Linked DNA regions of Notamacropus eugenii. The protein of the gene in region 1 purifies or fractionates together with the protein of each later gene. This does not show direct contact. Links are inferred from orthologs where the notes say so. Each region holds a gene or a part of one and is shown in the gene's direction. Other genes may lie near its edges. The genes, in order: POR and EMC4.

The links.
Region 2: the proteins of POR (region 1) and EMC4 purify together in Homo sapiens (affinity purification with mass spectrometry; 3 studies listed by BioGRID and IntAct, with this or other methods). This does not show direct contact. The link is inferred for Notamacropus eugenii from reciprocal best matches to the Homo sapiens genes POR and EMC4.

Annotation. Positions count from the first base shown.
Region 1 is NC_092873.1:50,939,830-50,952,322, forward strand, and holds the start of POR (NADPH--cytochrome P450 reductase), read left to right. Parts: upstream 1-7,950; 5' UTR 7,951-8,177; intron 8,178-12,493. UniProt on the Homo sapiens protein: This enzyme is required for electron transfer from NADP to cytochrome P450 in microsomes. It can also provide electron transfer to heme oxygenase and cytochrome B5.
Region 2 is NC_092878.1:17,315,344-17,327,897, reverse strand, and holds EMC4 (ER membrane protein complex subunit 4), read left to right. Parts: upstream 1-6,472; 5' UTR 6,473-6,679; coding exon 6,680-6,765; intron 6,766-7,642; coding exon 7,643-7,757; intron 7,758-8,484; coding exon 8,485-8,638; intron 8,639-8,951; coding exon 8,952-9,112; intron 9,113-9,364; coding exon 9,365-9,400; 3' UTR 9,401-9,775; downstream 9,776-12,554. UniProt on the Homo sapiens protein: Part of the endoplasmic reticulum membrane protein complex (EMC) that enables the energy-independent insertion into endoplasmic reticulum membranes of newly synthesized membrane proteins.

The DNA of each region.
Region 1 (12,493 bases):
GACATGAGAGCATTGTCTACTATCCAAAATCCAGGCAAACATGCCATCATGAAATTGACATGCAATACTGATGAACTTCTCCAGGCAGCCAAATTTTGACATAATTTTCCATAAGCCCTCATGACTAACAGTGTCAAAGACCCTGGTCAGATCTACAAACATACAAAAACTGACCGAAATTTTCTAGCTTATATGGCAAGAGGAAGTTATTCCCTAGGAGTTCAAGGATGCCTCCCTTTTCCATCTCTAGAAAGGTACAGGTAATAGATTGTCCTGCAACTATCACAGGGGGGTCTCTCTCTTAGTCATTGCTGACAAAATTCTTGCTAGAGTCCTCCTTAATAGGCTAACCTTTCACCTGGAAGATGGTCATATACCCAAGAGCCAGTGTGTCTTCAGAAAGGGCCAAGGAACAGTTGATATGATGCTTGCTGCCCGACAACTCCAGGAGAAATGCCAGGAGCAGAGCAGATCTCAATATACTGTGTACATGTATATATATCTATATATAGATATAGATGTATGTATGTATGTATATGTATATATAGTGTCTATATGTATGCATATATTCAGTGTATCTACATATACAATGCCCATATGCATGTATACAACATACTTAGTGTATATACATATAGATACAGTGTCTATGTGTATGTAGACACAGTGTGTATGTGTATACACAGACTCAGTGTATATACATATAGATACAGTGACTCTGTGTATATGCATACAGATACAGTGTTTTATATACATGCATATAGATAGATAGATAGACAGATAGATAGATACAGTGTTTATGGGTGTATGTATACCACCCAAAGGTACAGTGTCTATATGAATGAAGATATAGATAGTATCTATATGTACACATATACTCAGTGTATATACATATAGATACAGTGTCTATATGAATATAAATATATATTCACTCATATGTACATATACACTGAGCTGTGTACATTATACTTCATATATATATGTATATATGCATATAACATGGTGTTTATGTACCTTATATATTTATATATTCAAATTTACCTCAAATATAAGATATTTAAGGAAGGAGAGAGTTGTAAAAATTGGGGCAGGGGGAGGCAAGCTATGGCTGTCCTTGAGGAAAGTGTTGCGTGGTAGAGTAGAAAGATCCCTGACTCCAGAGTCAGAGATCCTGAGTTCGAGTTTTACCTCTGATGCTTGGGGACATCGTTTAACATCTCTGGGCCTCAGTTTTCCCATCTGTAACAATGAGTGAATTGGAGAAAGTGATCTACCTCTTTGGTTCTATGACATCATTCTGACAAACTCCTCTAAGGCTTATCCCCCAATTTATTGATCTCAGACAGTCTGTTTTTCACCAATTCACACTCCCATATCAGAAGGAATCTTAATTTCAGTAAGCTAGGACATTTCTTTATTTTAAATTGTCCTTTTTAATTTTGAGTTTAATCATCATCATCGTCACACACAAACATTTCAGGGTTCAAATCCTGCTCTGTGATTTGCTACCTGTGTTGCCTGGGACCAATTTTCATCTCTGAGCTTCCGTGTCTTTGTATGTGAAAGGAGAGGGTTGGGCTTGTCAAGATATGAGGAGACCCCTGTTTTCCAGAGCTCTGGCCCAGCAGGCAGGCTGTGCCCTAAACCTGGCATAACAACCCTCTGGATGATCTTTGCCACAGCAAAATCCCAGAATTGTTTCATATTATTGTATTGCTTTGATCAACACCAGGAGCTCAGACAAACACCTGCTCTATCCATGTTCTGGTCACGAAGCTCTGCTCTGAATCCAACTCGTTGTTACCCCTCCTATTGTCAGGGCTACAGCTCACTGCACAGTCGTTGGTATAAGCCTCAGGTGTCCCCACCAGGAGTGGGCCACCAGCACATGTGGCTTTGCTTGCAAGTAATTTCCCTCACTTTGAAATTAAACTTCTGTTTGATTCCTGAATCTCCTGTCTCTAGCCTGTTGTGTTTGGCTCTGACCATCCACAGGTTAGAGGCTGGTTCTGAGACTTCTTCCTGCTTTAAATCTGTTCCCTGGCTTGAGTTTGAAGTCTAACTGCAACTTTATTCTTCTTAATTGTACATTTGTTTTTTATATCACCCTGGGCAAGTCACCTCACCTCCCCAATCCTCAGTTTTCTCCTCTGTAAAATAAGGGGAAGTGTGACTAAATGATTATAAGACCACTTCCAATCTATGATCTTCTGGCTTCATTTTGGAATTTCATATCCTCCAAATGTAGCCCAGTGTCTGGCATGGAGCAGGGGTTTAACAAATGCCTGTTCATTCATGAATCCTGGAGCTACTGCTGACTAAAAGAGAAGGTTGCTTTTGGAGGAGTTCAGAAGGCTAGAGGCCTTGAGAACATGTAATTGTTAAGAGATAAAGGGAAGCTGGGTTCCGGAGGGAGGCGGGTTGAAGGATGAAGCGTGGATGGACTCAAAGGGCAATCAAAGGGGATCTACTGGAGGACAGAGCCAGAGGAGTTCAGAGAAAGAGCAGCAAGGGAGGCAGCTTCACAGAGAGAGGGAGAGCCAAGGGAAATCTTCAAGGACAGGTGCATGATGGTGGAATGTGGAATGCTCCAGCCTGCCTCTGGAATGCTGATACCCATGTGGAATGTCTGCGTTAGCAGCCAAACTGAGTAGGTGAGGCCCTGGTCTGACAAGTTACCTCCCACATCGTTCATCCCTGTGCTGGGTCAGGACAATACACAGATACTCCAAGGTGATAGTTTTGATTGGATGCAGATTGAAGCCCATCCATTCTGGCCCATTCCCTCCCCTAAGCTTGGCACAGGGGTTCCACCCAAAAGTCTGGAGGCCTGTCCTCATTCCTGCCAATATTCCAATATTGAGAGCACCAGTCAAGTCCTCTGGCTGCCCATCTGCCATTCCTTGCTTTCTATCTTTTCTGCTGAGGGCCACGTCTAGTTGTCCTGATCTATATCGCACCACTGGACCCAGATGATTCCAGAGGAGAAAGTGAGGCTGGTGACCTTCCACAGTCCTCCCTCACTAAAATTCAATGAATTTGGAAGTCATGGCACCATCTTGATGTTAAGATCTTCAAGAATGAAGAACAAACAATAACAACATATTGTCTGCCGGTCCTGGATTTCCTTTCTAACATCCTTCTCCCTGTTCTTCCTGGGGGCAGAAATGCTTGTGTTCCACATCTTGGTTACAGTAGCTGTCAAATCTCAGCAGTAAAAAGGTAGGTTTCTCAAAGAATGTAAATGGAGGTAGGAGGCCATGGATGTGGAACAGTATATGTAATATTAGACTCACTATATTGGCTAGTGTTGCTGAACATTTTTTCCTTACTGTTTTTATTTATTATTACAAAGGCTGGTAATCTGGGGAGGGTTCTAGAGGAAAATATAGGTGCAATAAAAAACAAAATAATAAAAAACAGTTTTAAAAAAATAAGTCTTTTCTTCTGGGAGGAGAAGTTTTTTTAACGGAATTTTGTAATTTCCTGGAGGCAATCCAGTCTGCTTTCCTCTCATTTAATTTTTATATAAAAATGACAGATATAAATCACACGTATGCCATCAATATATATCAGTATATACTGCATATATAATATGTATATACATAGTACATGTATAGCTATACATACATAACATACTTATATAACGTGTGTATGTGTACCACATGCATGACATCAATCTATGCTATTAATATGTTAGTATAAGTTAAGGTGTATATTTTCCATTTACACACACATAAACACACTGTGAATATGTATATAAAACCCAATATGATATATAATGTGTTATGTATAACATGCTATACATGTATGTATGTATGCTTTATGTGATGTTAGCACACATGTGATATCAATATGTATCAGTATATGTTGAGATATATGCTGCACATACATGTATGTATAGTGTGTATTTATGCATCTACATACACACATATGTAACATGTTTTATTGTTGCTCAGTCATTTTTCAGTCATGTCTGAAACTTTATGAACCCACTTTTGGGTTCTCTTGGCAAAGATATTGGAGTGCTTGCCATTTCCTTCTCCAGCCCACTTTACAGATGAGAAAATTGAGGCAAGTGACTGGCCCAAGGTCACATAGCTAGGAAGTGTCTGGGGCCAAACTTGGACTCAGGAAGACAAATGTTTCTGATTTCAGGCCCAGCACTCTATCTGCTGCACTATCTACATATATCTGGATGTTATATACATGTTTACACATAAAACAGTATGTGCATGGATATAGATATAGATATGTATACACTATATAGGTATATGTAAGTATATGCTATATATGCCATCAATATATATATTAGTATATGTCAAGATATATATCGTATATACATATACAGTGTATATATATGCCTTCTGTATATGCACAATGTGTGTATATGTACATATAACACAATATTATGTATATATACACATAAACATACATGCATATACACATATACATATTTTTATTTACACAAACACATAGAGATATACACACATACGTGTGCATGTCCACTGTTGGGCCAGCTCTACAGGGTGGCTATCTAAATATATGCTGTCATCTCATAGAAATACAAGGACAAAATAACATATGAGTACTACCTTAAAGAAGTTTACATTGATTCAAGTCAACAAACATTAATAATAGTTAATATGGGTATAGCACTTACTATGTGGCAGGCCCTGTGCTAAGCACTTAATAATTATTATGTCCTTTTCATCCTCACAACAACCCTGGAGATAAATGCAGTTATGATCCTCATTTTACAAATGGAGAAACTGAGTCACGCTATGGGTAAGTGACTTGTCACAGAAGTGTCAGAGGTAGAGTCTGAACCCAGGCCCTCTGACTCTCAATCCAATGGTTTTCCCATTGTACCAGACTTCCTTTTTTCTATTCTATAAAGCAGAAACCCTGGAGTATCTGCTGAATACTATTCTGCAAATGCTAGAGATACCAGGAGGTCATCTAGTCTAACCTTCCCATTTTTTTGGAAGAGGGAACAGGGGCTCAGAGAGGAAGGGACCAACTGGAGGCAGAAAACCTGCTCTGGCAAATACTCCCACTCTCTGTCCTCGTTTCTGTTCTTTTGCCCTGCCCTGTTCTTCCTTTTCCTCCCCCCACCACCCAATTCACACCTCTAGTTTCATTCTGATTGGACATGAATTCATCAGAAACCATTTCTTTGGGCCCTTGTTGGAAGTTCTTCTCATCCTGGTTTAACTCTGTACTAGACATTTTTCAGTCATGGGCTTGATGCTAGGGCCAGACTGTTCTGTGTCTCAGGACAGCTCTGGAGCCCCAGTTTAGGACTTCCTCATCTCCAAAACCAGACAGGCCAGTGCAATCATTCCTTCAATCTTCTCTGTGTCTGTGACCTCATTGATGTGGGTCTTCTCTCCAACTAGGGAGGCCACAACCATCACAACCATTTCATCCTCAAAAACTCTTGTCTGTATTCTCCCATAAACCATTCCTAGGGATCCACTCAACATGTTGAGGGTCAGCCAGCGCTCTTAACACTGTTTGGGTCCCCACAGAGCATGATGGTGACCCATTAGTCATCACACATTACCCACTTGGTCAACTTCCTCTTATGGTTTTACAAATATTTGCTGGCAATATTCCATGGTCTATTCCCCATAGTGTCTATTGCCCTTTGGGTGACTTTATTTCTTCATGGATTATAGCGTCAGTGGAAAAATATTGATGTCAGAAAGATAGGTCTTTGTTTCTGAGAGAATTTGGAGTTATTAAAAATGCTGCACAATTTTCCCAAAGTAAGCCAAGCCCACCTCTTTCCTCCTGTTCAATTCTGAGTCCAACAGAGTAGTCTATTTTCAGCATCTGTCCAAAATAAACTAACTGAAGGACCAACTCTTTGGGTCATCCAGCGAAGGACATATCATGGCCTGGATGATAGACTTTCTTCACTCACTTGGCTTTTCCTGTGTTGATTGTCAAGCTGAACTCTTTTGTGTGATTATGGACCTCAACTGGAGCTAGTAAATATTAGGATGGAAACTCCCTGAGGACAGATATTGTTTATTTCTTGATCTTTCCGTCCCCAGTTTAAACGGGCACGCTGACCAGCACATGGTACACTTACTCAGTGTTTGTATTCCACTGAATTACGAGACTCTTACAAAGAGCTGACATTGACATGGGTCTGATCTGGGTTTCCATTTCCTCCTCTGGCATTGGCATTGGTGAGCTGCTTAAAGATCCAGTGCTCTCTATACGTAGCAGAGAAGGGGCTGACCTGCCTTAGTTGAGGAGGGAAGTTCCCAGTTTGAGGAATCCAGAGGCCAGTCCCTACTTGGAAAATTTGTTGACAGCTTTGACGTTTATACCACACTTTAATGCTTACAATTCATTTTACGTGCAATCTCATCTAATCCTCATCCCTGTCCCATGAGTTCAGTGCCGCTGTTATTACTCCCACTTTACAGTGAAGGTTACACACATAGCAAAGGTTGGAGATGGGATTAGAATCCAGGTTTTTGTAATTCTGAGGTCAACACTTTCTTTGCTACAAGGAGGCAGCATCCCCTCTCTTCCCTCGGGACTTAGATGCTATCACCACAACCAGATGCCAGAAGGGATTTGGAGGAATACTTAAGAATAAAATTGTCTCCCTTCCTGACCCTCAGGGAAGATAAAAGTTGGACTCTTCCCTGACAGCAGTAAGGGCCCCTGGGGCAAGGTAAGGTGGGTCATCAAGTGAAAGCTCCCATCCACAGTTCCCTGCTGTTAACCCCAGTTGGTCACAACTATCCTAACCTAGTTATATTGCCTAATTATTTGGTCCTACTGGAATGGGGGGTTTTGATGGGAGAAAAGGAAGAAGAAAATTGTAGAGAATGGTCCAACTTGGAGAGAGAAGACCAACTGTGAGAGCACATGACATAAAGGGAGGCAGGGGGAGAAGGGAGTCAGGAGGGGGTGAGGTATCCCAAACTCACCTAATTTGACAGTGTTATTAGGTCCTGGTTTCCTTGACTTAGGTCATGGAAAGGAATATATTGCTGGCAATGGGGGTACCGGAGAGGCACCCTGATGCAGTGGAAAGAACTCTGGATTGGGACTTAGAGGTCCTGGGTTCTAATGCTGCCTCTGACATTTCCTACTAATATAACCTCGGGCTAATCACTGTGGATAAGTCACTTGCTCCCAGTTAGAGCTACCTTTCTCAGTAGTGGACTCTCCTTCCCTGGCAGGTTTTAAGCAGATCCTGGATGACTCCTCAGATTTTGTGGAGGAAATTCCTGCTCAGCTACAGTTTGGACTAGATTTTGACAGCCTTTATGAGCCTCCGTTTTCTGATTTGTAAAATGAGACAGCCTCTAAAGTCTCTCTCTGGGCCTCAATTTCCTGTCCCGTAAAAAACTGGGAGTGGACTAGCCTCTCAGGGCCTTTCCAGCTCCAGGTTCCATGAGGTGAAGAGGACTGAATTGATTCATCCATGGTCACCCACGGAGTAAGAGGCAACAAGGATTCTCCCAAGTACCTATTGCTTTCCCCACTGTGTCCAGGGACTGGAGGCCATGCCTTGGTCCTTAGAGGACTTTTGCAGGTCCCCTTCTGCCACCCCTGAGGTGTTCAGCCCAGAGTTCTCTGGGAGAGAACCTCCTAGCTGCCTTCCCCCTTGATTCAGGGGAAAACTTCCCAATTCTTGCCATCCCAATTCCAACGGTTTTCCGTGGGGTCAGAGGGAAGGGAGGAGGAGAAAGCGGAAAGCTGATTGGCCATCCCTGGGTTGTCTATGTCCCTGAAATTCAGGGGTTGTTGTGGTGCTTGTGCGTCAATTCAGGAACACAAAGGACCAAGCCGGTGGCTCCAGGGAAACAGCTGGCTCCTGGGAGAGGAAGGGGGAGGGGAAGGGGCTGGCCTGGAGAGTGTAATCTCTGCTAGTCCCTCCCCTTCTCCTCCCATAAAAAGGCAGTGGGCCGGTCAGAGATTGGAAAAGACAGGAAAACTCAACCGAGCTACTCCTGTCAGCTGCTCCACTCTCTTTGGTCCCACCCTGCCACCTAAGAAGGGTCATGGTCTTTGTCTAGCAGGTCCATCTGAGTGCTGCCTCCTGAGAAGACTGCTTCAGCTTTTTGGACACCCCTAGGTCAAGTACAGCTCCCTTTGAGCCCCAGAAAAAGTCCTCCTGAACCACTACATCAAGAAGGCCCAAGGTGAGTAAGTCGCTCAGTCAGTCCCCTCTTCACACACTTTGCTCTACCCTGCTGAAGGGGTTTGTGTCCCTTCCCATTGTGTCCAATGCTGCTGGTGGGTAGGGGGGATGGGGAGGGGGATGGGGAGGAGCCAGGGGCTAGAAACTTCTGGTTCCTGCGACCGCAAACCCTTCTTAGCATCATTATGGTGGTATTTGTTATTTTTTAATGCATAATTGAAGGAAACGCTAGATGTCAGTTAAAGGACAGTACAAAATAAAAATGTAATTGAGGTTTTTTTCCCCACCCACATTCATGGACTCCTTGAAATTTATCCATTGGGTCAACCCTCCTCATTTGACAGATGAGGAAACAGATGCCCAGGGAAGGACAGTGATTTGCCTAAGATCACACATCAAGTTAGTAGCCAAGCTAAGATTTAAACTTGACTCCTCCAACCAGTATTGGAGCCACTTAGAACCCTTAGGCCACTTAGTGCCTGGCATGTAGTGAATGCTTAATAAAAATTTGTTGATTGGATCAAAGGTACTTCCTTTCCCAGCTCTCATTACACACACACACACACACACACACACACACACACACACACACACACACACATACACACACACACACACACACACACACACACACACACACACACGCGTACTCTCCAAGGCAAGGATCCAAGTGATCCAAGTAATGATAGCGCATCAGATCATGGAGAAGACTGCTTAAGAACTGGTAATACTTCTTTGCTCTCCCGGGTGCCTGAAGACTGCTTCTCCATGCATGAAAAATGGGAAAAAGGTATGTAGCTACAGGCGCCACTATCTTCCTACTGCCCCATTTCCAGACAGTTGTTTCTGGGTCTAAGCCTCTGGATTCCTGAGCCTCTGTTAATTCTGGATTCTAGAGATCCATCTTCTGGTCCTCTGCCAAACTCTTTCTGGCACTGACTTCTTCACCCTAGGAGTCTGGGGTTATCTGAAATCACTTTCTTTGACAATCTGGAGAAATGCAAAATTTCCATGAGAAGTTGGTGAAAATAAAGATTTCTTCTCCTGAGAAAAAGAAAAAGTACCCTTCTTCAAGGCAAGAGATCTTGTGGTAGTGTGAAACTACCACAACTACTGGCTTAGGTTTCAGAGGACCTGTGCTCAATCCTGCCCCAGATATTTACCAGCTAGGCAACATGTGACAAGTTATCTAACCTCCCTAGGTCTTAGTTTTTTCATTTGTAAAATGAGAGGCTAGGATTAGACAGTCTGAGGTCTCTTCTTGCTCTAAATCTATAATCCACACATTTTTGTTAAGATCTGGGCCCAGTACTGACTTCCCCCTTCATTCCAACCCCAATTCAGTCGTTGGCCACAGCCATGGCAAACACACCCTCAGAGCAGCCCTGGCTGTTTGCCTGAAACCTCAACAACTATTCAAGTCTTACCTGCAAAAGGGGAGATACAGAGATTATGATGCCCTCATGGAGCTACAATCTTGGACCTATGGATGATCATGAAACATTGGTTCCCAGGCCATAGAAGTGAAAACCAGGAGCTATTTCAGGCTTTTCCAAGTACTAGGCATGAGATCCTTACTATGTCTTTGCATTACGAATTTCCCCATTGTAAAGCCTATTTGGGTAGAAGTCAATGGCCACAGGCAAAGAAAGGGAAAGGGCCTGGGAGGAAGGGAAGGAAAGAGGTGAGAGTGTTTTATGTAAGATGACACAGTGATAGAGCTAGCAATAGGACCTTGAGAAGCTGAATAGGAGGTAGAAAGTTCAAGAGAGAGAGCAGCCCCTTCAGATATCCAAGGTCTTAGAACCTGGAGCTCAGATGCTATTTAGTTTGACTTGTACCCGAGCAAGAATGGAGTCTCAGGCCTGATCAGCAACTGCCACTGGTGATGCTAGCTAAAATGAAAGGCTAGGAAGGAGGTCAAAGGCCCATATTGAGGAAGCAGTTGCCCCAAGGTCAATAGTTAGTAAGTGGCAGAACCCAGAGTCAGAAGCTTCCACTGCTCCATCCCAGACTTTTCCCACTATCCCAGCCTGAAGAGGAAGCTGGAATATTCCCCTGGATGATGACTGTCAATTTTGAGGTCTTCCTCTTGCTAGCCAAGCAATCTGAGATTCCAAAGTAAAGGGTGAAGGACAGGGAAGTGCTGCCTTGCCTGTAAAGGAGCAAGGAATAGGACTTTACAGAGCAAGGGGGAGGAAAATGGCTGTTTGTTTGGTTTTTTTTTAACGAAACTATAGATAGGCCAGGGAAAGATAAAGACAGTGGCAGAATGGCCTTGAGGTAGAAAGAGGCTTTTGTTCTGGGAGAGTGCCAGGGTTATTGGCTCCATCTTGGTTGACTAGGTGACATTTGTCTTTTCCTGGAGCTCTAGGAAAGGGACAAGAGTCAACCCAATTATAGATCTATATCTGGAAAGGATCTCTTGACCCACTCCCTTTTTTTCAGGTGAGGAAACTGAGAAAATTGGTGAGATTCTCTAGTGAAGGCTTGTCTCAGCCCCAGTGCCATTCCTGACTTGTGGTGGTCCAGTCAAGGTCACCCAGTTAATCAGTCATTTTGTATTAAATGTCTACTATGTGCCAGGAACTATACTGGTGTTGGGACGTACTAAGATAGAAGTTACATGGTTCCTGCCCTCAAGGAGCTTTTGTTCCAACATTTACATTTCCTCCATTAAATATAAATTTACTACCTTTCCCCACAACTTCCCTATGCCTTAGTTTCCCCATCTGTAAACCAGGGAGAAGAGTCTCTGCCTCTTCCCCTGCCACACAGGGATGGTATAAAGACAGGGGGAAAATAGAATGGCGGAGCCAGAAGAGAATTTAGAGCTTATATAGTCCAACAGTCACATTTGACAGAGTAGGAAACTGAGACACAGTGAGAGTATTTTATATAAGACCTCACAGTGATAGACCTCACACCAGGACCCTGAGATCAGCACTGTTTCTAGGACATTATGAGGGGAAAAGAGCTCGGGAAATGAAGATATTAAGAAGCAGTTATTTGTAGAGGTCTAAGAGCTGGTCTCAGTGTCAGGAAGACCCTAGGTTCAATAATGACATGTTGTCCAGATGACCCTGAGCAAATCATTTCATGTCTCCGCATCTGGCAAGAGCCAGGGCTGGTCTGCCTCAGTTGAGGGGGATTTCTCATGATGAATTTGTTCCACCAAAAAAATCATAAATCTGGTCCAAAAATATAAAGTACCAACAGATCAATTGATTAAAGGGATCAGTAGGAGGAGGAGGCAAAGGACAAGGTCTGCTTTGGTCTTTTCCAGCCCAAATAATTCCTTATCTTTTATTCAGACCTGTTGACATGTAGATAGTATTCTGGCTTATGGAACCCAACTCTATGTGCCCAGAAAAAAATAGAAACAAACAACCATTCAAAGGAAGAGATATTAGCTCCTAGGGGATGCTCAGGAGTGAGCTTAAAGCGTTTCTTGGTCTTCCCCTGTCCCCTGGGGCCTTTCAGTGTGAGCATCCTAGCACACAAAGGAGAATCCTCCATCTCTTCCACATCACATCCCCCAACCAGTCTCTTTCTGGCATCCCTGGTCACAGAGAGAGGCCCTGTTGTGGCTCATGACCCACTTGGGTCTTCTCTTGTCCCCATGACAAGTGAGGAAGAAGGAACAGTTATGAGATCACCCTGTTCCCATTCACATGCTATCACACGTGGGAAATCTTTTTCAAGATTATTTTTGATTATCTGTTGTCCAGTCTTCCTGCCAACTGAATTTTTTACCAGTTTTTGTTCCCTTTAATCTGAGAAACTCTCCATTGCCAACACTGCCTAGATCGATAGTTCAACCGGGTACTGTTTTTAAAACAACAAAAACCCATTGGCACTCATTTGGATTCTTCAGAACTCTCCTCACCTCAGTCACTGCCCTCCTTTTTAAAGAGACCCACACTCTTTTTCAGTTGTAGCTCTTAAAAGATGCCATGTTTTACTTTCTGGGCAATGAAGGGATTTTGAAGGAGTCTGATTATAATCCTGCATACTGACTTTAAAATGTACCCCATCCGAATCCCCACCCCACAAGTCATTTGCCACTGCACTTACCCCTTTAAAGAATTCACGGGAATAATTTAAGTATTCACTTAAAGAACTGAAGTAATTCACAGAAATCTATGCCTCTTCCCTCTTCCTTCCCATCATTCTCCCACTCTCCCTGGCTTAACAAATCACTTAACATGGTACTTAAAGTTAGACAAAAGATAATTCTTACTATAGCCCTGGGTAACAAACAAAATGCTTTAAGGTTTATGGAACACTGTCTATGTTTCAATTTAATTTAAATTT
Region 2 (12,554 bases), on another chromosome or scaffold:
GCAAACAGCAGAAGTATAGCATGATAACTAGCAGGGATGGATGGATCCAGGGATAGCTGGGTTTTTTTTAAGGATAAGAAGATGTAGACACATTTGTAGGTAGCAAGGGAAGTAGCCAGCAGAAAAGGAAAGACTGAGAATGAGTGAGAGGATGGGGGAAATGGAGAGAGCAATCTATTGGAAAGTGTGAGATGGAATGGGACCACTTGTGCAGGTAGGAGGAGTTTACCCTAGCAAGAAAAAGAACTGCCTTCTTCATGTGAAATAGGAATAAAGGAAAAGATAGTTACAGAAGACATCTGTGTGAGGTATGACAAAAAGAAGGGGAGAAGAGGGAAGTATTGGAAGGATTTCTTCAGTGAAATATGAGACAAGATTCTCAGCTGAGAGGGTGGGAAATAGAGGTTTGAGGAGGGATGAAAAGATGTGGAAAAGCTGCCGTGGTGAATGGGATAGTGAATTTATTAGGAAGGTGTTATAGCATTATGGTGCTAGAGTGAGGGCAAAGTGAAGATTATGTAACTTAAATATGCTGGACCCAGTCAGCATGGTTTCATTATTTTTCTCCAGTTTTGTTTAGCAGCATATGAATAGGAGTGAAAGAAGATGGTGGGAGCATTCTAGGATGGAATTAATAATAGGATAACAGTGTCAAGATAAGGAAGAGAGGAGAGGATAGCCCATGCCAGGGTGATAGCCTGCGAAGGAAATGAGGGATGGAGTGGAAGGATCACCTGGAGTGAAAGGTCACAAGGAGGATGAAAAACAGAGTTAGGGGTTATAAGGCAAAGGGAAAGGGGTAATGATAAAAGATTATGGTCAGATAAAGGAATTTCAGAGTTCATGAACATTGAATAACAACACTTGGGGAAGATGGCAAGGGTCTGACCATATCTGTGTATAGCTGAGGTGGGGTGGAAGAGTCAGTCATGGGAAATGAGTTAAGTTGAGGAATTGGAAAGTTAGGATGTTTAAGAGAGTTATCAATATGTCAAAGTCCCCTAGTATGAGAGGAAGAGGGAAGAGGGAAGAAAAAACTCATGGGGTAGGGCCAGAGAAGTCTATGAAGGAACTGGGTCTTAAAGAAAGGAAAAGTTATGGAGGAGAGAAGATTTTTAGCCAGGCATTTAACTCCTTGAGGAGGGAAGGAGAGTGCCTTGGAAGTTGGTAGATAACAACCACTTGATTGGGTGATGAATAGGGATTGAATAGACCTCAAAGAGGAGAGGTTACTAAGTGATGGTGGTAGAGTAAGAGAGTTTGGAAGTACCTACATAGAACAAAGAATATTCTAACTTCACCACTATGACTAGTGATATAGTGGGATGGGATATGAGTGAAACTGCAACCAAAGCTGGAAAGGGTGACTAGGGATGATATGTCATCAGGAGAGAGCCAAGTCTCAGTGGGTTCTAGAAGATATAAAGAGCGAAAAAAGAAATAATTTAATATGAAAGCAAATTTGTTATCTATGGAGTAGGCATTCCAGGAGGCAAAGTGGAAGAAAGCATGGGCAGATCTTGAGTGGTACATTGGAAGGTTTGGGTTGAGGAAGATGAGATGAATGGAATGGGCAGTGGGAGACAAGGATAGGGATTTGTACAAGGACAGTCAGGGCTTCAGAATCACTGGCATGGGGTGGGAGTATACTAATTTTTGAGAAATAAATTCAGGCAGGTTATCATAGTAATTTATTCACTTCAATATCAAGGAGCCAAAGGTTATTCCTACTGAGGAAAAGTAAGGTCATTGGAAAATTTGATCTTGATCTCAGAGATTCTTTCCTGTATCAGATAGGCCTTGGGCTTCCCTAACAAAACATTTGAAAATTCAGATATTAATCCTAGAGGTAATTTCACAAAAAAGTGACATTATTCCCTTCAAGGAAGAAACAGCCTCAATGGCTGAAGCCAATTTAGAAGAGAAGTCTAACAGAACATAGCAGCAGCAATTTTGCAGAGAAACAACAGGGGTAGAGAGGACTGGTGGCTGAAGAACCAAAGGCACAACCAAAGAAAGAGTTCTGTTCATGCTCCAGCTGTGTTTCAGGTAAGATGCAACCCTAGGAGCATAATTTGTCTGGGGAATGTTTCCTATCACATCATCACTAAGGAAATTTGTTAGAAATTTGCATATGTTTGCATATGAGGAAGTCCCCCCCCCCCTTTTTTTAACTACTTACTTCCATTTAAAAGCTTTGCTACTTGATTCAGGGTTTCTGGACTGCTGGTGGAGAGTGCAGGAAATAGGCACTTGAGCACTATTAGTGTAACTAAGATTACCTGGAAACACACCATCCTGGCCTTGGATAGCATTATAAAAGATATTATCAAATTGATGTATGATCAAGAATGAAGGTAGATACATCATGTGGGGATAGAAAAATAGAGAGCCTGTATGATTCATGGTATCCCATACTATTAGAAGATCCAAAGAAAGACCCCCAGAAATATTTGACTCCATACATGTTATATTATTAGAATAGAAAAAAATGCTTCAGTCCTTTAATTTCAAGGTTTTTACTAAACAAAGAAAAATAATAAATCATACAGACTTTTTCCTCAGTTAAATATTTTCACCTTTGCTGAGGACAAATAGGAATAGTTATAAATTGGTGGATATAGGCTTATAATTAGTTACCAGGAAGAAATGTCTACTGAGGATTGACCCTGAGTTCATTATCAATGGAGGTTATGGAATTAAAAAAAAATTTTAAAAAAAGATTAAAAAAACAAAATGGACAAATACTTGTCAAATATTTTAGGCATCATTTCACTTAAAGTTTGATACTGGGGGAATAAGCTCATCATAGAGTAGGTATGACTCTTTACTATCTGTGTGTGTTCGTCCTTTGTTGCCGAAGAAGACAATACCATCAGAGAAATAATGAGATGACTTGCCCTTGACTTTGTTTTGAGTGAGGGAGGGCTGTGCAGGTCAGCAGCCTCACTTCTCCTCCAGAGCCATCTGAATATATATATGTATGTATTATGTACATATATGTATATAATATATAATAATATAATGTATTATATACATACATACACACACGTAATAGTAGCCATCTCTGGGAGGGGGAGGGAAGGAAAAAGGAGGAAAAAAGAGAGTTACATGATAATTTTATTATATATTTAACAGGAATAGCAAGTTGTACATAATAGATTTGTGGTTTTATGTACAATCTTTTTTTGTCTATGCTACTATGTGATGAAAATACTTGTTTAGTTTTTCAAGTTCTGAATAAAATAAATACATTTTTTAATAGGAAAAGATCTCTCAAACTTAAAAAATTATCACCTCCAGCAGGAAATTCTCTTTGGTCCCCTTAGCCAGGTTCACTGCTCTTTCCATCTTTGCCTTGGTACAGCTTTTACTCCCTCATGCAACACATCAAGGCTGTGTTGTTCAAATTCATAAATGTGTTGGTTCCACTTTCATTGATAGAGAAGCAATGTGGTTCAGTGGATTTGGAATATAGGAATCTGGGTTCAAATTCAAGATATTCCAACTACCATTCATGTTACTCTTGGCAAATCATTTCCTCTCAAGCCTTATTTTCCTCATCTTTAAAATGAGAAGGACCTCTGATGACCCTTTCAAGTCTAAATCTATGTTTCTATGAACCAGATGTTACTAGAACACTGCCAGCATTTTTTCACCCAACCTTTAAACACCTTAGACTTCAGAGGTAGTATCCTGCTGAGCACTCTAGCATATTTGATATCAAAGATGCCAAGCACACCTCAGAATACGGAAGGCTAAGCTTAGAGCTGGCTATGCTTAGTGGAGTGGTACTTCAGAGTTAGCAGACAAAAAAATTGCTGATTTCCACTGCATATTATATATCTTGCAGTAATTATATCTAGCCTATTCATAATTCATATTCATATTGGGGCAGTTAGGTGGTATAGGGAATGGAGTGCTGGGCCTGGAGTCAGGAAGACATCACCTTGACTTCAATTTCTGGCCTCAAACACTTATTAGCTTTTCTAGTCACTTACCCCTATTTGCCTCAGTTTCCTCTTCTGTAAAATGAGCTGGAGAAGGTAAAGGCAAATCATTCCAGTATCTTTATCAAGAAAACCCCAAATTGGGTCACAAGGAATTGAATATAACTGAAAAATGAGACATCAACAGTATTCATAAATCTTATGGTGTGAATGGATCCTCCAGAGATTCCCAAACTTATTTGGCCTACAGCTCTTTTTAAAAAAAATCATTAAATCCCCCTCCCTGGAAACCTACTTTCTTTAACTCTAATTTTTTTAAATTTGCATCATTTCAAAAAATATAAGGTTTTTTAAAATGACACATCTTAAATTTCATAATTTATTGTAAATTTGTGGCATTTTTCCTGCAAGTCATTACACGAACACATTCTTGCCAAAGCATGCTGCACTTCTCGACAACCTGCAACATGGTAATCTGCCAACACTTGCTTGTTAAGACCTATTGATGGACTTAACCACTCTTTGGTTATAACTTGCATTTTGTGTGTTTATTTGGAAAATAATATAATCACTATGATTTTAACTGTTACACAACAGATGAAACATGTACAAGTGGTTTTTCAAAATTTTCTTCTCTTCTTTCCTTACGCTTCCACTACCCTGTCATTTTTACTGAACACCTTCCAATTGCATGGGAGGTTATTATTTGCCCCACATTGTTCCATCATCTCCCCCCACCTCACTGCAGTACTGTCCACTCTGGGAACTTACACTCTAGAGAAAGTTGGCAATTATTCTCAGGAGATACTGTTGCCTCAGAAGGGGAGGAGAAATTTGAATACTGGCTGGCATTTGTTACTGAAATGCTGCAAGAATAACAAGTAGTTGCCACAAAAAAACTATATGCATGGAATAGAAAATCAGAGGGCCTGCATTGTGTATATTGCCCATGTTAAATATGGAAAAGCCACCTGTTAACAACGTATGAATGCTTGAGGGTCTAAGAGTCTGAAAATCTTCATATCAAATCTATAATTACAACCCAAGAGCAGGAAAAAAATAGGAAAGCTCAGTGATTAAGGAAGTAATCCTCAGGAACCCTGCCAAAGGACCCCACCAAGAGGAGTTTTTGTTATAAGTATGAGCAGGATGAACACTTATGGGTTTAGGACACTTAAGATGAGAATAAATCTTAAGGATTCAACAATTTTAGAAACTTATTGGTACCTTTTGTCTTTCATTTCTGAATACTTCTCTTCCTACTGAGTAAGGCATCCCTTGTAACAAAGAATATAAAAGTGGTTCAGCAAAACTGGCCAGCACAACCAATCTACTCTGACAGTATGGCAATGCACCTTCAGTCCAATACACCTAGTGTGCCCTGCCTGTCTGTAAGAAATAAGGAAATGGATTTCTCAATTCTTGCTCTCATACTAAACACACTGACGTTCCTTCAAGCACCCAAACTTCCCAATTCCTCAATCTATTTATTTTACTTGCTATGACCTGCTCCTACACTTCCCCTCAAACAGTTGTACTCTTGAACGTTCATGAACTCTGAAATTTCTCTAATCTGGTCATTATTCTTTATTATCTTATCTTTTCCTCTTTCTTAGGACCTCTGGCCCTATTCTTTGTCCTGGTTGACCTCTAATTTTTCCACCTTTTTCAGTTCCTTCCCAGGCCATTTTCCCCACACTAACTATTCACTGTACACTTCTCCCTTCCCTACTTCAATCCCTTTGAGAATCAGTTGCACCCTGTATTATACAGTCTTCTACACTCCATTTTCTTGCCTCCTGGCTTCCTATTACTTATCCTGCCTCATCAAATTCAGTATTCCTGGATAGCTTACTCCTTTTCTCCTGATTCACCTTTTCATCAAACTGCTGACTGGCTGCCCTTCGAATGTGACTGGTGTCCTAACACGGGTGGTGGCTGCGGGGGTTAGGGGGCAGGGGGCCCCCCAGGTCTCTCCCTTGCTCCAGACCCTCAGACTCTTGTACCTTCTACCCCGGGGCCTCTGGATGGGACGCGGCTTGCAGAGCTCCCCCCACATCTGTATTTAAGGGGGGCCCCGGGCCATCCATCCTTTTGTTCCCCACCCGCCAGCACTACTTTAGATTTTTTCACAGCGCCCCTACGTGGGGTGCCCCCTCCCTCCCCTCCCTTTCGCTTCTTGAGGGTGGGGACCTTCTTTATCCTCAGCTCTCAGCTCGGTGCCTGACTGACCCCCTGATGAGGTACCCCTGAAAGGCCACTTGGACGGAACCAGTTGGTCCACTAGTATTTATTTCCTAGAGGCGCAGTCCTCCACCGTCCACCCCTGAGCCCGCAGGCGACAAGGGCACAAAGCTGGGCGAAAGGAGGCATGACTGAGGTGGGACTGACGGAGAGCTACAGATGGGGAGCAGACGGGGAGGGGATGAAGGACGAGAGGGGCGCACGGGGAGGGAGGGGCGGATCGGGACCCTCGAGCTGGGAAGGCTCCTTTAATAAGCTCCAGGCCCCGCCCCCTTTCCCTCCCACGCACGCTCCCTCCGGGCTCTCCCTTAGCCGGAGCAGCACCGGAAGTGGCGTCATCCGGCTGACCCGGAAGTGCTATTTGGGAGGCGAGACCGCGGCTTCGCGGGGTCGCGCTCTCGGGGGTCGCGCTCTCGGGGGTCCCCGGGAAGGCACGCGATCCGGGCCTGCCTCCTTCTCCGCGGCGTCACGAGGCAGCCGCTGCCATGACGACCCAGGCAAGTTTGGTGGCGAACCGAGGCCGGCGTTTCAAATGGGCCATTGAGCTGAGCGGCCCCGGAGGAGGCGGCAGGTGAGGCGGGCACGGGAGCCGCGACGGGCACGGGAGCCGCGACGGGCACGGGAGCCGCGACGAGGGCGGGACGGGGAAGGCCGGGGCGGCTCCCCCCACCCTCCACGGGCCCCCTGGCTGGGGAGGAGCCAGGCCTCGGGGGCGTGGCGTCCTGGGCCCGAAGGGGCTGAGTGGGCACGGCGCTGACGTCAGTCGGGGGCCCGCCGCGTGCCAGGCACGAGGTCGTTCTGGGCGGGACTCAGCCGGCGGGGAGCCGGATCATGGGTCCGGGGAGGGCGGGGCGGACGTGAGACGCTGGGGTAGAATCCCCAGGACTCACCCCTTGCGTCGTCCCACGTCTCGCGTCCTGATGCCGGACCTGACCGCGTGACTCCCCGACCTCTCCAGCCTTGGCGGGCATCGCCCCTCCCGCGCCGGGCAGCCGGGCAGCCCACGCAGTCTCTGCTCACACGACGCACCATCTCCCGCCCTGGCGCTCTTGCACCGCACGCCCTGCCCTCCCGGGATGCCCTCTCTCCTTCCCTCCTTGGAGACGCAGCTTCCGGACTTGCCCTGTCCTGGCTTCCCCTCTGCCCTTGTGCTTGGCCCTCCGTGACGCCGGTCTTGAGGTCACGCGTGTTTGTACGTGCCCTTGTTAGCATGGCAGCTCCTGGCCTGTCGCTTCCTTCTGGCACGGAGAAGGCACCGAACACCTGAAGACAGGTGTCAGGGGCTTCAGATGGCATGTAGCCTAAACGCCTTCCTTTTAGAGGTGGTTCAGGATGAAGAGCGTGGGTGATGCCAGCCCAGAAAGAAGTTAGAGGAAAGGGCAGGGTTTTGGGGGGAGAGGGGCATTTGGGGAGATCCCTAGCCTCTGCTTCTTGGTCTGGTTCTTTAGGGGCCGAAGTGACCGGGGAGGTGGCCAAGGAGATTCCATGTACCCAGTGGGCTACCTGGACAAGCAGGTGCCAGATACCAGCGTGCAGGAAACAGACCGGATCCTAGTAGAAAAGGTACAGAGATTTAAGGAGGTGACCAGTGCCTCTGAAATCTTTGAGCTCTGCCTTTCTTCAAGGATGAGAAAAGGATCTCTTTAAAGACAAAGGACTTATAAAATAAAACCTTGGGCCATTTAGAGGGAATGGAATGGGGCAGGGATGAGGAGGACAGAATCCTTCTTTTTTCTCCACCATTAGAAGCTGGAGAAAATTGTCCCTGAATAACCCCTTGGAAGATAGCCTGAAAATGTTAATAAGCAGGCTTCTCACTCCTGTTTTCTAATCTTTGGATGAGAGCTCCTCAGATGGCAGCAGAAAACAAATTTGAAAAGTCATATTGCTGACAAACCTTGATGAAGGTAACTAGAAGTAATTGGTATTGGGGGTGTTAGTAGCCATTGAAGTGAGGTTAGCTAGGTGATGCCATGGATGGAGCACCAGTGCAGGAGTCAGGAGGACCTGAGTTCAAATCTCACCTCAGACACTTGACCCTCACTAGCTGTGTGACCTTGGGCAAGTCACTTAACCCCAACTGCCTCATCCTGGGTCATCTCCAGTCATCCTGATGAATATCTGGTCACTGGATTCAGATGACTCTGGAGGAGAAGTGAGGCTGGTGACCTGCACAGCCCTCCCTCACTCCAAACAAAGTCAAGTCATCATTTCTCTGATGGCATGGCCTTCTTCGGCAACAAAGGACAAACACAGCGATTGAAGCAAAATAATCATATGTTTCTTCTAGCGTTGCTGGGACATTGCCCTGGGTCCCCTCAAACAGATCCCCATGAACCTTTTCATCATGTACATGGCAGGCAACACCATCTCCATCTTCCCCACCATGATGGTGTGTATGATGGCCTGGCGGCCCATTCAAGCACTTATGGCCATTTCAGCCAGTAAGTATTGATGTTAACAAGGTATGCATTGTCCTTTCAAGCACACAGTCTGTCTTCCCCAGAACTTGGGAGGCACGTGTTTTCCCCAGAGTCTTTGAGGTCTAAAAGCCAATTCATTAGGGGATATCCCCATTGAAGTGACTTGTTAGAAAAGCCCTTTGCTACTGAGAAGTGAGGCTAAATTGCTTATATTTGAGTTTCTCTTTTTTTCTATGATCATCAGTTCCTCAGCCAGAAGCTCAGTCTCTTAGTATGTCCTTGTATGTATTATGTTGCGTTGGATTCATCTTGATACCTCTCATTGCCATTGCAGCTTTCAAGATGCTGGAGAGTTCAAGCCAGAAGTTCCTCCAGGGCTTGGTCTATCTCATTGGGAACCTCATGGGGTTGGCTTTAGCTGTTTATAAGTGCCAGTCCATGGGACTGCTGCCTACACATGCATCAGACTGGTTGGCTTTCATTGAGCCCCCTGAGGTAAGGCAAAAAGTAGGAATTTAAACTTGCCTAAGTTGAGATGTAAGCAACAGCTGACTGTGTCATCTACCTTATTTGTCAGAAAGTGGAGTTGGAGTTAGAAAAACAGACTTAGGAGACAAGCACATAGGGAGCTTCAGAAAATGTTTGAGTAGGTGGAAAGTAGGAGAGCTTGGAGTGGAAGATTAAACGGAGTTGGTGAGAAGCTGCACTATAACATTTATCATTTTTTTCTTTCTTTTTTCTTTTCAGAGAATGGAATTCAGTGGTGGTGGGCTACTCTTATAATCAGGGGAAACCGCGAATTGGCACCCTCTCACCCTTGGATCCCATTTGGTTTTCGTCATTTGTCCCTTCTCAATAACACTTCAGTCTGTTCTGCTTCACAAAGATCTCCTGTGCTGAAAAGAAGAATCCAAAAACTTCTTTTCTCAAAGGTGAAAACAGAACAAAGCTTATAGGGTTAGAGTACAAGAGTACCAACAAAGAAAAACTACAGAGATGCTCCTGGCTGAAAATAATGTAAAAAACTTTATTTATGTTTCTAATACAGAGCAAAAACAACAATCAGAACCATAATTCTATGTAAACAAGAGTGGCTGCTTCAGCCTCTCCTCTCAATAAATTAAACTGCTCAGAACAGCTCTTGGAAAAGAAAACAAAGTTGCATGAGTTCCCTTAATCCATTTCCCCTAAATCAAAGGTTCTACCTCTAAATGATATTAAAGGGGAAAAATACTGCTGGAGACAATTATGGTAGACTTGAGAAACTAACGCAAGCTTCAGATTATACATGATGAAAAGGAAAAAAGAAAAGAAAAAATAATTGTTAATACCGGACTGAACGTGGGCATTTTCTACGTGCCATGGTATTTTATTTAACTTGGGAACAGAGGAAGGTGACTGTGCTTAATCCATCACAGGGTAGGGAATGGGTTCCTTAGGGAGAGGCAGTCCCCAGCTGCCTCAGGAAGCTGTGAGGCATATATGAATATGAAGTAGTGATCTTTCCCCTGCTAAAAGACTGGCCTCAGTATGATTTTTAATCCAGCTAGTAAAGGCATAGACCAATAGCATGAGGATATTTGACACTACACTCCCTGGGAATATTATGGCTAAATCTCCAAATTTGATCTTGTCCCAAAGATAGAAGGTTCTTCCCCTCTCTTACCTCTGTGAAAACTGACAGCCCCCTTCCCTAAGGTGCATTCTCTTGTTGAGTTTTCAGTATTGCTCTACTTTGCAATGATTCAGAGACACAAGAGACAAAAATACATATACAGTGGTCCACACAAAAACGGGAGTGAGAGTCTGGTTAGTGGACAATACTCTGTCATGTAACAGTGATTAAAAAAAAAAAGATGGAGGCAGAGGGGCTACACACATAACCTCCAGTTCCCTCATCCCTTTAAAAATATTCTGACTATAAACTTCAGGGAGAATTTCCTTAAAACCTTTCATTTTTCTGTCTAGATTACATTAATCTCCCTAACCTAACCTCACCTCTCTAACATCATCACCCTTTTGGAGCAGGGGGTGCTGGCTCAGAGAAACTAAAAACCCACCAGGAAATGAAATGATTTTTGGAGTATCAGGTTGCAAAATCTAGGCTCTTGGACAGAGCCAAGGAGGGAATTTTCTTCTGGTATTGAACTCCAGTCCCCACCATAAAAAGGAAATTGGTAGAGGGAAACAAGGAATAAAAGGTGCAACATGAGCTATAAACATTCACTACACTCTTCCTGACACCTTGGAGGAAGAACTGAAGCTAAGACTGGTTAAATACTTTGTTCTGTCCAAGGAAGACAGGAATTAGAGTTGACTTGGTTTTTGCTCTTCTGTGTCGTGGGTGGCTTCTAATGATTTTCTTCAGTTATACTGAATGGTCGCCTTCTCTGTCCATGGAGCTAGCTGAATCATCAAAATGTTGCACATTCTGAATATAAAAGGGCTCATTTCAAATGCTACTGAGTAAAGAGAGATGATAACTATCTTCGGTTTAGTCAAGTAACAGCTGAGTCCATGAAGTGGCCATGGGCCTAGGCAAGGTGGAGTGGTCCCTGTACATGAAATATCTGTAATAGATTTTAGGCCAACTTCAGGGGTCTGAAATTATTGCCACAGCCATATAAGGCAAAGATTTCCTATGCCTGGAAGCAATACCTTGGTGCTTGGCAAAAAAAAAAAAAAAAAAAAAGGTTTAACTTGTAAGATTACCCCCTCGGTCCAGTCCTTCATAGCATTCTAAGAATGCAAAGGAAATTGGCAATTCCAAGGCTTCTGATTAATCTCTGAGTCCAGAACCAGGTCTTTACAATCAAAGTAAAGGAGGAAACTGAGGGAAAGGGTAATGTCCCCCGCTCCCACCCTAAAACAAAACCAAACAAAAACCTCATGTCTTAAATTGTCTGTGCATTGCTATCAACTTCCCCGCTTCATCTCAACTCCAAAAACCAAGCCACACAATGAGAAAAACTGGAACTTTCTAAGCAAAGTCAATGCCAATTCATATTCTGAGTCATTTGAGGAGGAATGAAAGGAATTTAGCAACTCAGTGACTTTGGCACTGTGAAATAAGGTATGGCACCAGAACTTTAAATTCCATTGCTGAATTCACCTCCAAAATATAGGCTCATTTTATTTTAAGTGATCTAATTATCCTTGCGGCAGGTCAGCCAGTGTCCCAGTTTGCTCTTTGTGGTTCTGTACTGGTCCTACTAAGCAGAGGATGGGAGGAAAGGGGATATGAGCCCAGTTAATTTCTCGTTACTTAACATCCAGTTTGTTTATTTTGCCCAAGTCACTCACCTATAAGTGTCCATGGACTAGAGCAGCTAGCTGGGGTTTGCGTGAATGACTCAATCACCTAGATAACACTGCCTTTAAAACAGTAATTTCCCGTGTAACATTGCCTCACAGTAATGCCGCAGAATGGGCCAGATTTGGGAAACTTGAAATACTCAGTGTACACACGATGTACACACATGCTTTAACCTGGGATCAGACTAAAGAGCAGCGTCTACTGGGGACAGAAAGGGCTCTGTGTATAGGTTTGTCTCATTCTTTGCAGTACCACAGTACAGAATGAGGTACTTGGAAGGCAAGCGCACTGAAGATGAGCTGAGAAAGTTTTCCATATGGGTTTGTTACAGAGAGACTGAGTTGCCATATAGTGGTGGCTGTGGATATTTTTCGTGGAATGTTATACTTCTCTGAGCATCATCCTTGGAATAAATATCCTGGAGTTCAGAGTTTCTGCAGGAGATCACAACCGTGTAAAGATTTCTGAGATCCACCCTGCAGTTTCAGTCTTGCCCAAAGCAATGACTGTGCCTGCTGTCCTATTTACATTTACCCTTTGGTCCTGGCTCCTTTCTGCCTCATCTCTTTTTCCTTTCTGGTTGTGACGTACGCTAGTCTGGGCAATGACAAGATTTTTAGG